Anolis sagrei: one gene and its partner. The protein of the gene in region 1 interacts with the protein of each later gene in a pairwise test. Links are inferred from orthologs where the notes say so. Each region holds a gene or a part of one and is shown in the gene's direction. Other genes may lie near its edges.

The links.
Region 2: the proteins of GOLGA1 (region 1) and PDCL2 interact in a two-hybrid assay, tested with the Homo sapiens proteins (2 studies listed by BioGRID). The two-hybrid records come from large-scale screens. The link is inferred for Anolis sagrei from reciprocal best matches to the Homo sapiens genes GOLGA1 and PDCL2.

The regions. Positions count from the first base shown.
Region 1 is NC_090031.1:6,349,774-6,357,931, forward strand, and holds the start of GOLGA1 (golgin subfamily A member 1), read left to right. Parts: upstream 1-5,037; 5' UTR 5,038-5,116; intron 5,117-8,158. UniProt on the Homo sapiens protein: Involved in vesicular trafficking at the Golgi apparatus level. Involved in endosome-to-Golgi trafficking. Mechanistically, captures transport vesicles arriving from endosomes via the protein TBC1D23.
Region 2 is NC_090025.1:73,589,453-73,596,743, forward strand, and holds the start of PDCL2 (phosducin-like protein 2), read left to right. Parts: upstream 1-4,013; coding exon 4,014-4,044; intron 4,045-5,961; coding exon 5,962-6,052; intron 6,053-7,291. UniProt on the Homo sapiens protein: Essential for male fertility, spermiogenesis and acrosome formation.

The DNA.
Region 1 (8,158 bases):
AACGATTTTTACTGCCCAAAGTGTCTCCATCTTAAGCCTCGTCCTCATTGATCACTTCAGCTTCACTATCCAAACTAGGCCCATCAACATTGGCATCAACATTAGCATCAACATTGGCATCACCATTAGACAATACAAAGATTCAGGCTCAGGTTCACACACAGGCTGAGTCCCAACATGACTGAATGGAGCACCATTACCTTCCCGCCAGAGAGGTACCTATTGAGCTCACATTTGCATGTTTTTGAACTGCTAGGTTGGCAGAAACGGGCTAACAGCGGGAGCTCACGGTGCTTATCGCCATTTCTAAGCCAAAGAGCCGGCATTGACCGGAGACACCTCCAAGGTCATGTGGACGGCATGACTGCATGGATCACCATTACCTTCCCCCAGAGCGATACTTATTGAGCTCACATTTGCATGTTTTCAAACTGCTAGGTTGGCAGAAGCTGGGGCTAACAGTGGGAGCTCATGTCGCTCCCCAGACTCGAATCTATGACCTTTTGCTTACCAAGTTCAGCAGCTCAGAGGTTTAACACACTGCTCAACCACAGGCTCCTAACTATCCCTATTTACATGAAAAGTTTGGGAAGAAATCTGTGCAAACCATTGGGCTGGGTTGCTGTGAGTTTTCCGGGCTGTATAGCCATGTTCCAGAAGCATTCTCTCCTGACATTTCACCCACATCTATGGCAAGCATCCTCAGAGGTTGTGAGGTCTGTTGGAAACTAGGCAAGTGGGGTTTATATATCTGAGGAATGATGTCCAGGATGAGAGAAAGACCTCTTGTCTGTCTGAGGCAAGCATTAATGTTGCAATTGGCCACCTTGAGTAGCATTGAACGGCCTTGCAGCATCAAAGCCTGGCTGCTTCCTGCCTGGGGGAATCCTTTATTGGCATTCCCCCTGGCTGGAAGCAGCCAGTCTTACACCCATATCTATGGCAGGCACCCTCAGAGGTTGTGAGGTTTGTCAGGATCTAGGCAAGTGGGGTTTACTTTTCCAAAGCATACTAACCTTGGGTTGCTGTGAGTTTTCTGGGCTGTCTGGCCATGCTCCAGAAGCATTCTCTCCTGACATTTCACCCACATCTATGGCAGGCACCCTCAGAGATTGTGAGGTTTGTTGGCATCTAGGCAAGTGGGGTTTACTTTTCCAAAGCATACTAACATTGGGTTCCTGTGAGTTTTCCAGGCTGTGTGGCCATGCTCCAGAAGCATTCTCTCCTGACATTTCACCCACATCTATGGCAGGCACCCTCAGAGGCTGTGAGGTTTGTTGGGGACTAGACAAATTGGGTTTATATATCTGTGGAATAATGTCCAGGGTGAGAGAAAGAACTCTTGTCTGCTTGAGACAAGTGTGTATGTTGCAATTGATCACCTTGATTAGCATTGAATAGCCTTGCAGCTTCAAAGCTTGGCTGCTTCCTGCACCCTGGGCATTCCACAGATGTATAAACCCCACTTGCCTAGTCTCCAACAGATCTCATAACCTCTGAGGATGCCTGCCATAGATGTGGGCGAAACGTCAGGAGAAAATGCTTCTGGAACATAGCCAAACAGCCTGGAAAACTCACAGCAACCCAGTGATTCTGGCCATGAAAGCCCTCTGCTGGTTGCATCTAAGCATTACATACATACCAATAAGACAGTAAGTCTTTCTATGTGCACACTGCCCTCTTGTGGTTGCATTGAAGCCTTTCATACATTCATAGCAATAAGCCAGTAACAACTTTCCTATCTGCATGCTGCCCTCTTGTGGTTACATCTGAGCATGACATACATAATCAGCCAGTAACTAAGCCTTCTTAACTGTATACTGCCCTCTTCTGGTTGCATATAAGCATTGCATACATCCATACCAATAAGCCAGTAAGTAATCCTATCTATATACTGCCCTCTTGTGGTTGCATATAAGCATTGCATACATACATCCATACATACCAATAAGCCAGTAACTAATCCTAGCTATATACTGCCCTCTTGTGGTTGGATCTGAGCATTGCACAGACACAATAAGCCAGTAACTAAGCCTGCCTATCTATAGACTGCCCTCTGGTGGTTGCATCTGAACATTGCATATGACCTTGAATAGCAAGTGGGCGCAATGCCTGATGTGTCCACCGGAGGGCGGCAAAGGACAACACATAGGAGTCCAGGGCAGAGAGATGCCCCATAGGTTTCAATGGAGGGGCAGAGTAACAAGGGGGCGCAATGCCTGATGTGTCCACAGGAGGGCGGCAAAGGACAACACATAGGAGTCCTGGGCAGAGAGATGCCCCATAGGCTTCAATGGAGGGGCAGAATAACATGGGGGCGCAATGCCCAATGTGTCCACAGGAGGGCAGCAAAGGATAACACATAGGAGTCCTGGGCAGAGAGATGCCCCATAGGCTTCAATGGAGGGGCAGAATAACAAGGGGGCGCAATGCCTGATGTGTCCACAGGAGGGCAGCAAAGGACAACACATAGGAGTCCTGGGCAGAGAGATGCCCCATAGGCTTCAATGGAGGGGCAGAATAACAAGGGGGCGCAATGCCTGATGTGTCCACAGGAGGGCAGCAAAGGACAACACATAGGAGTCCTGGGCAGAGAGATGCCCCATAGGCTTCAATGGAGGGGCAGAATAACAAGAGGGCGCAATGCCTGATGTGTCCACAGGAGGGCGGCAAAGGACAACACATAGGAGTCCTGGGCAGAGAGATGCCCCATAGGCTTCAATGGAGGGGCAGAATAACAAGGGGGCGCAATGCCTGATGTGTCCACAGGAGGGCAGCAAAGGACAACACATAGGAGTCCTGGGCAGAGAGATGCCCCATAGGCTTCAATGGAGGGGCAGAATAACAAGAGGGCGCAATGCCTGATGTGTCCACTTGAGGGCGGCAAAGGACAACACATAGGAGTCCTGGGCAGAGAGATGCCCCATAGGCTTCAATGGAGGGGCAGAATAACAAGGGGGCGCAATGCCTGATGTGTCCACAGGAGGGCAGCAAAGGACAACACATAGGAGTCCTGGGCAGAGAGATGCCCCATAGGCTTCAATGGAGGGGCAGAGTAACAAGAGGGCGCAATGCCTGATGTGTTCACAGGAGGGCAGCAAAGGACAACACATAGGAGTCCTGGGCAGAGAGATGCCCCATAGGCTTCAATGGAGGGGCAGAGTAACAAGAGGGCGCAATGCCTGATGTGTTCACAGGAGGGCAGCAAAGGACAACACATAGGAGTCCTGGGCAGAGAGATGCCCCATAGGCTTCAATGGAGGGGCAGAATAACAAGGGGGCGCAATGCCTGATGTGTCCACTGGAGGGCAGCAAAGGACAACACATAGGAGTCCTGGGCAGAGAGATGCCCCATAGGCTTCAATGGAGGGGCAGAATAACAAGAGGGCGCAATGCCTGATGTGTCCACTGGAGGGCAGCAAAGGATAACACATAGGAGTCCTGGGCAGAGAGATGCCCCATAGGCTTCAATGGAGGGGCAGAATAACAAGGGGGCGCAATGCCTGATGTGTCCACTGGAGGGCGGCAAAGGACAACACATAGGAGTCCTGGGCAGAGAGATGGCCCATAGGCTTCAATGGAGGGACAGAATAACAAGGGGGCGCAATGCCCGACTCGTCCATCAGAGGGCGGCAAAGGATAACACTTTGGTGGAATGGATCCAATATCAATTGCTGTGGCCTTTAGAACACTAAGGAAATCCAAATATGAAACAATCTGGTCTAGGGAACACCTCTCCACAAAGCTTTCCCACAGGCAGGAAGAAGCCAGACTTTTAAGCTGCAAGGCTTTTGAAAGGAATAATGATAATTTACATGCAATATAATAAATATATATAATTAATAATAAATTACATGAAATATAATAAATATATATAATTAATAATAAATTACATGGAATATAGTAAATATATATAATTAATAATAAATTACATGGAATATAATAAATATATATAATTAATAATAAATTACATGGAATATAGTAAATATATATAATTAATAATAAATTACATGGAATATAGTAAATATATATAATTAATAATAAATTACATGGAATATAATAAAAATATATAATTAATAACAAAGTACATGGAATATAATAAATATATATAATTAATAATAAATTACATGAAATATAATAAATATATATAATTAATAAATTACATGGAATATAGTAAATATATGTAATTAATAATAAATTACATGGAATATAATAAATATATATAATTAATAATAAATTACATGAAATATAATAAATAAATATAATTAATAATAAATTACATGGAATATAGTAAATATATATAATTAATAATAAATTACATGGAATATAGTATATATATATAATTAATAATAAATTACATGAAATATAATAAATATATATAATTAATATAAATTACATGAAATATATTAAATATATATAATTAATAATAAATTACATGGAATATAATAAAAATATATAATTAATAACAAAGTACATGGAATATAATAAATATATATAATTAATAATAAAGCACATGGTATATAAAATATATATAATTAACAATAAATTACATGGAATATAATAAATATATAATTAATAATAAAGTACATGGAATATAATAAATATATATAATTAATAATAAATTACATGCAATATAATTTTGTTGTTATTATATTGTTATTGTTATTATATTATGCAATATTATGCAATATAATAAATATATATAATTATATAATTATGATATCATATTACTAGCAGTAGGAAGAATGGAAAGGAGGGAAGGAAGGAAATGGTAGTGGAGCCATTATTTATGGAATTTTATGCAAATACTAGGATTGAGCTCTGGATTGTTGTGTGCAGAGGGCTCCTGTCCCTTTAAATCAAGGGTTCTGAAAGCGCAATCTTAAAGAGAGGGCGCCTGTCTCTTTAAGGAGCACCATACGGGAGCGCCCCGCCCCTTCACGCCTCAGCCAGGCAAAAGGGGGCGTGTCCCGCACTGCGCCACGCCCTCCTCATTTGCATCGCCGTTGCCTGTCTTTCCCTCCCGCGCATGCGCAACGGTTAGCGCCTGCCCTGTCACTTCCGCCAGCCGGTGGGCGCTTCCGATTGGAGCGAGACTGCAGTTGAGGACCAGCTGGTGAGTGGAATCTCGGAGGGCAATTGAAACAGAGAGAGAGATTCCTCTGGTTTGGAAGGGAAAGGGAGGGTATTCTGGGATGGGAGGCTGTAACACTGCTGGTAGTCACTATGGCGACGGCTTGGAGGCCAAGGGAAGGCAAGTGGAGCAGGCCTGGCCCAACTTAGGCCTTCATTCCAACTTGGGACTACAACTCCCACAATTCCTCACAGCCTCAGGCCCTTTGCTTTCCCCCCTCAGGCCTGGGCCAACTTGGGCCTTCCCTCCAGGTGTTTTGGACTCCAACTCCCACAATTCCTCACAGCCTCAGGCCCTAAGTTGTAGTCCCTAAAGGCCTGAGGCTGTGAGGAATTGTGGGAGTTGGAGTCCAAAACACCTGGAGGGAAGGCCCAAGTTGGCCCAGCCCTGAAGTAGATGTGCCAGAACAAGGCCTTGATCAGGAAGGCTAGCTACTGTCAACCAAAACCCACTTTACAAGTTCCTCTGCTTATTTCTCTTGTTTCAAGATTCTTATAATCCTTTCTTTTTTTAAATGAAGAGGTTAAACAATTGTATAATCCGTCTGGACTACTGCAACGCTCTCAATGTGGGGCTGCCTTTGAAGATATAATAATAATAATAATAATAATAATAATAATAATAATAATAATATACATCACGCAGTGCTAGAATCATAGAATCAAAGAGTTGGAAGAGACCTCATGGGCCATCCAGTCCAACCCCATTCTGCCAAGAAGCAGGAATATTGCATTCAAATCACCCCTGACAGATGGCCATCCAACCTCTGTTTAAAAGCTTTCAAAGAAGGAGCCTCCACCACACTCCGGGGCAGAGAGTTCCACTGCTGAACGGCTCTCACAGTCAGGAAGTTCTTCCTCATGTTCAGTTGGAATCTCCTCTCTTGAGTTTGAAGCCATTGTTCCTCATCCTAGTCTCCAAGGAAGCAGAAAACAAGCTTGCTCCCTCCTCCCGGTGGCTTCCTCTCACATATTTATACATGGCTATCATATCTCCTCTCAGCCTTCTCTTCTTCAGGCTAAACATGCCCAACTCCTTAAGCCGCTCCTCATAGGGCTTGTTCTCCAGACCCTTGATCATTTTAGTCGCCCTCCTCTGGACACATTCCAGCTTGTCGATATCTCTCTTGAATTGTGGTGCCCAGAAATGGACACAATATTCCAGGTGTGGTCTAACCAAAGCGGAATAGGGGGGTAGCATTACTTCCCTAGATCTAGACACTATACTCCTATTGATGCAGGCCAAAATCCCATTGGCTTTTTTTGCCGCCACACCACATTGTTGGCTCATGTTTAACTTGTTGTCCACGAGGACTCCAAGATCTTTTCCACACGTACTGCTCTCGAGCCAGGCATCCCCCATTCTATATCTTTGCATTTCGTTTTCCTTCCAAAGTGGAGTATCTTGCATTGGGAAGTGTTCGACTTGTGGTCTTTTTGGTATGAAATCCAGCATATAGATCTCGTTTGCTGTGACATTCTGTGCTTTTGTGTCAGTAAAATAATATTATAATATTTATTTATTTGTCGTGTCAGGGCAACCAGTCAATTATATTACATTTCTAACAGAACAAAGCAAACAAACAGACATAATACATCATTTGTGAGTTTGGTAGTTGATTATCATAATATTATTATATTATAATAATAATAAATAATGATCACAAGCCGGAAAATTTTACAGAAAATGAACACACCAAACTACTCTGGGACTTCCAAATTCAGACAGACGATTATATTATTATTATTATTATTATTATTATTATTATTATTATTATCACAAGCTGGAAAAATGTACAGGAAATGAACACGTCAAACTCCTCTGGGACTTCCGAATTCAGACAGTGTTGTGGCGCACAATACTCCTGACCTCACGATCATGTTAAAAAACAAAGTATGGATCATCGATGTTGCAATCCCGGGTGACAGCAGGATTGAAGAGAAATAACTGGAAAAGCTGACACAATATGAGGATTTAAAGATCGAACTGCAAAGACTCTGGCACAAGCCAGTCAAGGGGGTCCCAGTGGTGATCGGCACACTGGGTGCAGTGCCTCAAGACCTTGGCCTGCACTTAAACACAATCAGCACTGACAAGATTACTATCTGCCAGCTGCAGAATGCAACCTTACTGTGATCTGCACGCATTATTCACCAATACATCACCCAGTCCTGACTCTTGGGAAGGGTCCGATGTGTAATCCAATACAACAGACAGCAGATAATCTTGTCTGCTGTGGACTCATCTTGTTGTGTTTCTAATAATAATAATAATAATAATAACTACTACTACTACTTTATTTTTATACCCCACCTCCAAATTTGGACACTACACCCCTAACAGATCAACAAGTGACTGTCACTCATAAAAACACTGAAAAACACTGCGGAAGAGACTTAAAAAGCCAAAAAATAAAAAATCCATAACACACAAAACCACATATACACACATATATATGCGCACACACAAAACACATATACACAGACTGAGTCACAGCGACGCATGGCAGGGCATGGCTAGTTGAATGATATTTCTATCCCGCTTTTCTCAAACCCAGATGTGACTTAAGACCACTTTACAATATAAAACCAAAACAGTGTTGGTCCACAAGCACAAAGATATACACTATTAATAGTAAATAAACAGTGTAGACTTATATTGAGTGAAATACACATAGTACAAAATATACAATCCCAATGCTAATGCTCTGTATAACAAAGTAGTTCCTAACTCGTGCTTCGGCTCGTGCGCCAGCTGCGCCCGTATCTTGGGAAGTCTGACTTGGCCACGGTGGTACACGCTTTGGTCACATCCCGCCTCGACTACTGCAACGCTCTCTACGTGGGGCTGCCCTTGAAGACGGCCCGGAAGCTCCAGCTAGTCCAGCGTGCGGCAGCCATGTTGTTAACCGGAGCGGGACGCAGGGAGCACACAACGCCCTTGCTGTCCCAGCTCCACTGGCTGCCGATTTGCTACCGGGCCCAATTTAAGGTGCTGGTGTTATCCTACAAAGCCCTAAACGGT
Region 2 (7,291 bases), on another chromosome or scaffold:
CCCCACCCTGGTTGAGAAGCACTGTCCAAAGGCTATCTCTCTTCTTACTTTCCTAAGATTATTATGGAGACTAAAGTCCAATACCTGAAAGAAGGTGGAGTTTCACAAGGCAGCTGGAATTCTGTAGTTGTTCTATGGGCTCCTCCCATGTCTTCTTCAGAACTGGCAGCATTCTGAAACAGTTTGTTGGCCTTTCTACGTACTGGGCTGAACAGCTGTATGTAGGTTTGGGTCTCATCTTTCAGACGACTGGAGGGCTGGGTAATGTGGAAGTCATTTTGCCACCCACGAGGAAGCTAACATGCAGGTCAGAAAAGTGGGATATATCTGAAATGGAATACATTTAGGATGCATTTATTTATTTATTTCAAATATTTGTATCCCGCCCTTCTCAAGCCCTGGAGGGGGACTCCTGGCGGCTTACAATTCGATGCCCCCCATATACAAACAAAAGAAACAGCAGTTACATAATAAGGAAAACATTAAATTAAATTAAACTTAAATCCATTTAAAATAGTACTAAATTGGTTGGCCATATCTAAAACTGAATTCTACAACCAACGACTTAGTCCGAAGCTTGTCCATAGTCCATTTTCGTAGCATTGTCATAATTTTTATTATCAGCCTGCTACCCAAATACTTGGTCTCACAACCATTTTTTCAACTATTTCCTAAAGGAAAAAAGAGGGAAGCAGTTGACCTAATTTTGCTGGGGAGTAAGTTCTACAGGCGGAGGGCCACCACCGAGAAGGCCCTGTCTCTCGTCCCTGCCAAGCGTGATTGTGACGGTGGCAGGATCGAGAGCAGGGCCTTCCCTGAAGATCTTAAGCTTCGAGGTGGAACGTAGAGAGAGATAAGTTCAGACAAGTAAGCTGAGCTGGAACTGTATATTTGAATTTTTAGGCAGCAACATTCATTCCTTCATTAAGTTCAGTCATGAATGCAGCTCAAGCTGCCACTTCAGTAGGAACTGCTATTTCTGTCTGCTTTTTTGCCTTGATCAAGAAGTACTTTGCCATCCATGTAGCCCCTTATGCAAGATAACAAAAGTAATATGATTATTTTAGTTGCCTGTTATTTGTTTAATAATTTACTACCTCTAAAAGATGAATTATGTGGAATGGGCATATTGAGTAGCTGTTCCAGAAATAAAGTGCCTGTGCAAACAACACAGGCAAGGAAGAAGCTAAACAGATAATTCCCACCACCCTCCAACTCTCCTTCCACCACATGCTGTTGGCAGGACCCAACTAGTAGCATCAGGGTTGTGAAGAAGAAATTGACTGAACATGGTAGTGCTCGGTAGAGAGTAGATGGCTGAAGGTATGATAGAAGGAATATAGAGATAGAAGCAAAATGCTAATCATGGTCTACTTGTTGATTCGTCATGTAATCTACACCAACCATTGAGTAGATAAAATGCTTCAAGATCAAGCAAAAAATTGTTAAAAGTTCTGAAAACTGAGCTGACCAAGAAAGCAAGATACATGAAAATATTTAGGACATGTTATCCACACTGAGGTGTTAGAAGCTTTATTCAGCACACAGTGAAGAACTTGTCCATCATTTTGCAGATAAGCTCGCTCGGATTTGATTTGACTCTGGCCCCATCCACACTGCCATATAAAATCCAGATTATCTGCTTTGAACTGGATTATATGGCAGCATTGACTCATCCAGTTTAAAGCAGATAATGTGGATTATCTGCTTTGATCACCTGGATTATATGGCAGTGTAAGAGGGCCCTTACAAACCACATTTGATACAACATTGTAACCTTGTGCACCTGCTTTTTTAGTGTTGAGGGATACTTTTCAGTGTGTGTAGTCTGAGCATGTGGACAGAATCCTTGGAAAGATGAGAGCCATCACGTGTGTTAGACCCTTGTTCCTTCTGGCTCATTAAGCAGATGAGAGGGGAACTGGGGGAGAGGGTCACGGAAATGATTAATGCTTTGTTGCATCACGGCAGGGTCTCAGGATCCTTCCATACAGCCCTATATCCCAGAATATCAAGGCAGAAAATCCCACAATATCTGAATGTGGACTCAGATAACCCAGTTTGAAGTAGATACTGTGGGATTTTCTGCCTTGATATTCTGGGATAGAGGGCTGTATGGGAGGGCCCCCAGCATGCTTCCAGGATGCTGTAGTAAGATGTCTTCTAAAGAAAACTTTCCTGGACCCTTCTGTACTTAATAGCTATTATCTTCTATTTTTCGGAAGATACTAAAGCATGTGGTGGCGATTCACCTCCAAGGGTTCCTGGATGAGGATTATTATCTACACCCATTTCAGTCTGTTTTGATGCCTGATTATGGAACAGAGAAGGGTTTGTTGCCTTGGTAGATAACTTATGCAGGGACCTGGGCAGGAGATGTGTTACCTGCTGGTTCTAACTTTCAATGCCATTTTGCCATGACAACTTTCTGAGTTGCCTTCACCTACAATCAAAGAGCATTCTGAACTCTTACCAATGATAGAATTGAACCATGTTTGGCACACAGAGCTCCCATGACCAACAGAAAGTACTGGAAAAAGGTTTGGCGAACATTGACCTTGAGTTTGGGGGTTGTAGTTCACCTACATCCAGAGAGCACTGTGGACTCAAACAATGATGGATCTGGACCAAACTTGGCACAAATACCCAATATGCCCAAATTTGAACACTGGTGGAGTTTGAGGAAAATAGACTTGACATTTGGGGGTTGTAGTTGCTGGGATTTATAGTTCACCTACAATCACAGAGCATTCTGAATCTCACCAATGATAGAATTGGGCCAAACTTCCCACACAGAAACCCCATGGCCAACAGAAAATACTATGTTTTCTGATGGTCTTTGGTAACCCCTCTGACACCCCTTGGGACCCCACCAGGGGTCCCAACCCCTAGTTTGAGAAATGCCTACTTATCTACCTACTTACACTTTTAAAGCCCCAATTCCTGCTTCATATTTGGAGGGCCATATTTTACCTCAGTGCCATTTCATTTCAGCATTCATAAGAGGCATGGCTTTTTATTTGAAGTGACAAAGACAGGTGACTTCTCTGATTTAATACATTCCCTATCTAGTTTCAAGTAAACGAATAGTCATAGAATCACAGTTGGAAAGTCCCCATGGGCCATCAGATTGAACTAGCAATCCTAATTCTGCACTAACACAAATGACTATATAGTTATTTGTAATCCAGAATTAAACTTTCAGAGTTAAGTTTTCAGAGCCCTGAGCTTACCTCAGATGGTTTGGTCTAAAGTATCAGTTTTGGTTTTCCCCACAAACATATTTTTTAAAGTGACTGATCCTATGTCTGGACAGCTGTGTTGTATGATCTCATAGAATCATAGAGTTGGAAGAGACCTCATGGGCCATCCAGTCCAACCCCCTGCCAAGAAACAGGAAAATTGCATTCAAAGCACCCTCGACAGATAGCCATCCAGTCTCTGTTTAAAAGCATCCAAAGAAAGAGCCTCCACTACACTCCAGAGCTGAGAATTCCACTGCTAAACAGCTCTCACAGTTAGGAAGTTCTCTTAATGTTCAGATGGAATCTCCAGGGTAGCAGAAAACAAGACTGCTCCCTCCTCCCTATGACTCCCCACCACATATTTATACATTGCCATCATGTCTCTTCTCAACCTTCTCTTCTGCAGGCTAAACATGTCCAACTCTTTAAGCCACTCCTCATAGGGCTTGTTCTTAAGACCCTTTAACATTTTAGTAGCTGTTCTCTGGACACATTCCAGCTTGTCAACATCTCCCTTCAACTGTACTGCCCAGATTGACCACAGGTGTGGTCTGACCAAGGCAGAATAGGGGGCTAGCATGACTTTCTTGGATCTAGACACTTCCTGCAGGATGTGCTGGTTTGGATCCAAGGCGGCATACTGTATGCTAGTGATACAATGAACTTCTGTTTTTAAAGGATCCAAATGAAGATACGGAATGGAATGATGTTTTGAGAGATTTTGGGATTCTGCCCCCCAAAGAAGAAGTTAAAGATGAAATTGAAGAAATGGTTTTACGTTTACAAAAAGAAGCTGAAGGTAAGGAGTTGCTAACATATTGCTGTCAGTGTGCAAGCAATTGTTGGAATTAAGATCACTGCATTTTAGCTGTCTACAATCTAAGCATTGTAATACAATCCTATCCTGCTCATATGGCTTCCAAAGAATAAAAAGGCTAGAAAATGGCTGTTGTATAGTTTTCTTGGGCAATGTAGTACTTCACAATTCAGATGGGGAAAGGCACAACCTTGTATTCATCTTAAAATAAACAAAAGGCAATTGGATTCTAAGATAGCTTTGCCTTCCTCTGATTTCTACAAGTCAGGAATTTTTAGCACAAGGAAAACACCCAAACAGTATATTTTAAAACAGGCCAATCAGAGAAAAACGAGAACTCATACTTCCTAAATTCTGAATTAGCAGATCAGCCCTAATACTGACACAATTAGAACACATCTGGAAATAACATCTGGCAAAAGGTTATTGCACTTAATGGCCATTAATTGGAATTTTGTAAACATGGGGTTTCTGTTTAGGATTCAGCATCATGCACATCTTTGGGAAAATTGATTTTTAATTCCATTTAAGTGTTTGTTTTTGCTTGCATCATGTATATCTTGGCTTTCAGCAAGAGCCCTCAAGATGGCTTGGGAATAAATCCATACAAAAACACAGTGAATATCTAATATTACTTTCTGTGTTTCTTCTAAATAAGGATATAAGAAAAACTATGCTGGATCCTAACCAAGGCCAGTGTCAGGATCCAGCATGTGTTCCCATGATGGAAAATCAGTTGCCCTAAGCAAAGCCAATGAAATAGGATATAAACACAACTTCTCCAGAAACAAATCATAGAATCATAGACCTCGAGGGCCGTCCAATCCAAACCCCTGCCAAGAAGCAGGAAAATCACATTTCAAGCACCCCCGACAGATGGCCATCCAGCCTCTGTTTAAAAGCCTCCAAGGAAGGAGCCTCCACCACACTCTGGGGCAGAGAGTTCCACTGCTGAACAGCTTTCACAGTCAAAAAGTTCTTCCTAATGTTGAGATGGAATCTCCTTTCTTGTAGTTTGAAGCCATTGTTCCGTGTCCTAATCTCCAGGGCAGCAGAAAACAAGCTTGCTCCCTCCTTCCTATGACTTCCTCTCACGTATTTATACATGGCTATCACATCTCCTCTCAGCCTTCTCTTCTTCAGGCTAAACATGCTCAGCTCTTTAAGCCACTCCTCATAGGGCTTATTCTCCAGACCCTTGATCATTTTAGTCACCCTCCTCTGGACACATTCCAGCTTGTCAACATCTCCCTTCAATTGTGCTGCCCAGAATTGGCCATAGTATTCCAGGTGTGGTCTAACCAAGGCAGAATAGAGGAGCAGCATGACTTCCCTGGATCTAGACACTATACTCCTACTGATGCAGGCCAAAATCCCATTGGCTTTTTTGCCACCACATCACATTGTTGGCTCATGTTTAACTTGTTGTCCACAAGGACTCCAAGATCTTTTTCACACGTACTGCTCTCGAGACATGCGTCCCCCATTCTGTATCTTTGCATTTCATTTTTTCTACAGGAGCACACTTCCTCTTATACATGAAGTGATATATAGTCAGTATGACTAGTAGCAAGTTATGGCCTTAACCTCCATTTCATTATAGAAATTCTTCTCAAAAGTAACTTTCCAGGTTCTGCCCAGAAATATACAGAAGTGGCATTTTATTTTTGCCCTTTGTTATACATTTTTGTATATTTTTATAACAGCGCTCCATGCAGTCATGCTGGCCACATGATCTTGGAGGTGTCTACGGACAACGTTGGCACTTCGGCTTAGAAATGGAGATGAGCACCACATCCCAGAGTCAGACACGACTGGACTTAATGTCAGGGGAAAACCTTTACCTTTACCTATACATTTTTGTAGCTTCTAAGGTTGTTTTGGGTTTTTTTTGCTCAGTGAAACCATATGAAAAAATGAATCTGAAACAACTCAAAGAAGCTGAAGATGAATTTAATGAAGAAGATATGAAAGCTGTTGAAATGTACAGGTATGCTCAAGTTTATGGTGAGCACATTTAAAGACAAAATAACACGAGAAGAGCAAAGATCTCAAAATGGATATGAAATTAGAATAAATAGATGGTCGTTATTCATATTTTATTCCTTTGCTACTAAGCAAAGCATTTAACAGGTTTGAGTAAACGAGGAAAAGTAGTTCTAATACTTATATGTACTCCATAGGCAAGTAAGTGGTGCCATCTAGTGTTTTCAATTGTGTACATTTGTGCGTGAGTTTTATGCATTCGAAACTGTTGTTATCATAGAAACACCTAATTTAGTACAGGTTCTGTGTTAAAGGAACTTGTATTAAGGGTTTTTACAGAAAATCTCTTGTACATCTATCAAGAAATAAGTCCCAGGGAATTCAACAAATATATGTGTGAAGGATAGCAATTTAAGTTATTCAGTTGCTTAAATCTGCTGACATTACAATATTTCTGAAGAAAAATAATAGGCTAGTAAAGCAGGTCGGTGCTTATTTGAGGTTCTCCTGAGATTGACTAAACTTTCATCTTTCACCACTCAGGAAGGGGGGTACAATCTATGTATCTATGCACGTAATAAGTGAAAATATGCATGTGTGTGTCTGTGTGGTTGGGGATTCCACTTACACAGACGTGCTCCTGCCTCCACAAACAGCTATAGCCCCCACTACTCAGGAGACACCAATAGCCCTCCCTCCAATGACATTGCAGGTTATAGTGAGCACCATGAACATATACAAGAACCCTGCCAGTGTCCTCCACAAACACAATACTGCCCACCACCTAAGTGAAGGCTTTCATATGGGGACAATTCCAGCCTAGAGTTTATGTGTTTCCTCCACCACAGACTTCTCAGTGTTTCTTACTCTCCCCGTTGGTGTGGAATTTGCATGACCCCACCAATTGCCTCTCCTTTAACCCTTTCCTATTATCTTCTATGACACACAACAAACTGATGAACTGATCAGCAATGGAACACATTAGAGAGGTTTGGGGAGAATTCACCATGATTTATAGGAGTTGTAGGTCCTGGGATGTATAGTTCACCTAAAATCTAAGAGCACTTTGAACTCCACCAATGATGAACTTGGAACTAATTTGGCATGCAGAATAACTTGGGCAATGCCGGGTACTCAAGCTAGTTCTTATATATATGAGTTAAGGTAGAGTACTCACAGTGGCTCATGGCTAAGCCAACCCAATTTTTTTAGGTTGATTTTTTTTTACTAGAATTTCTAGACC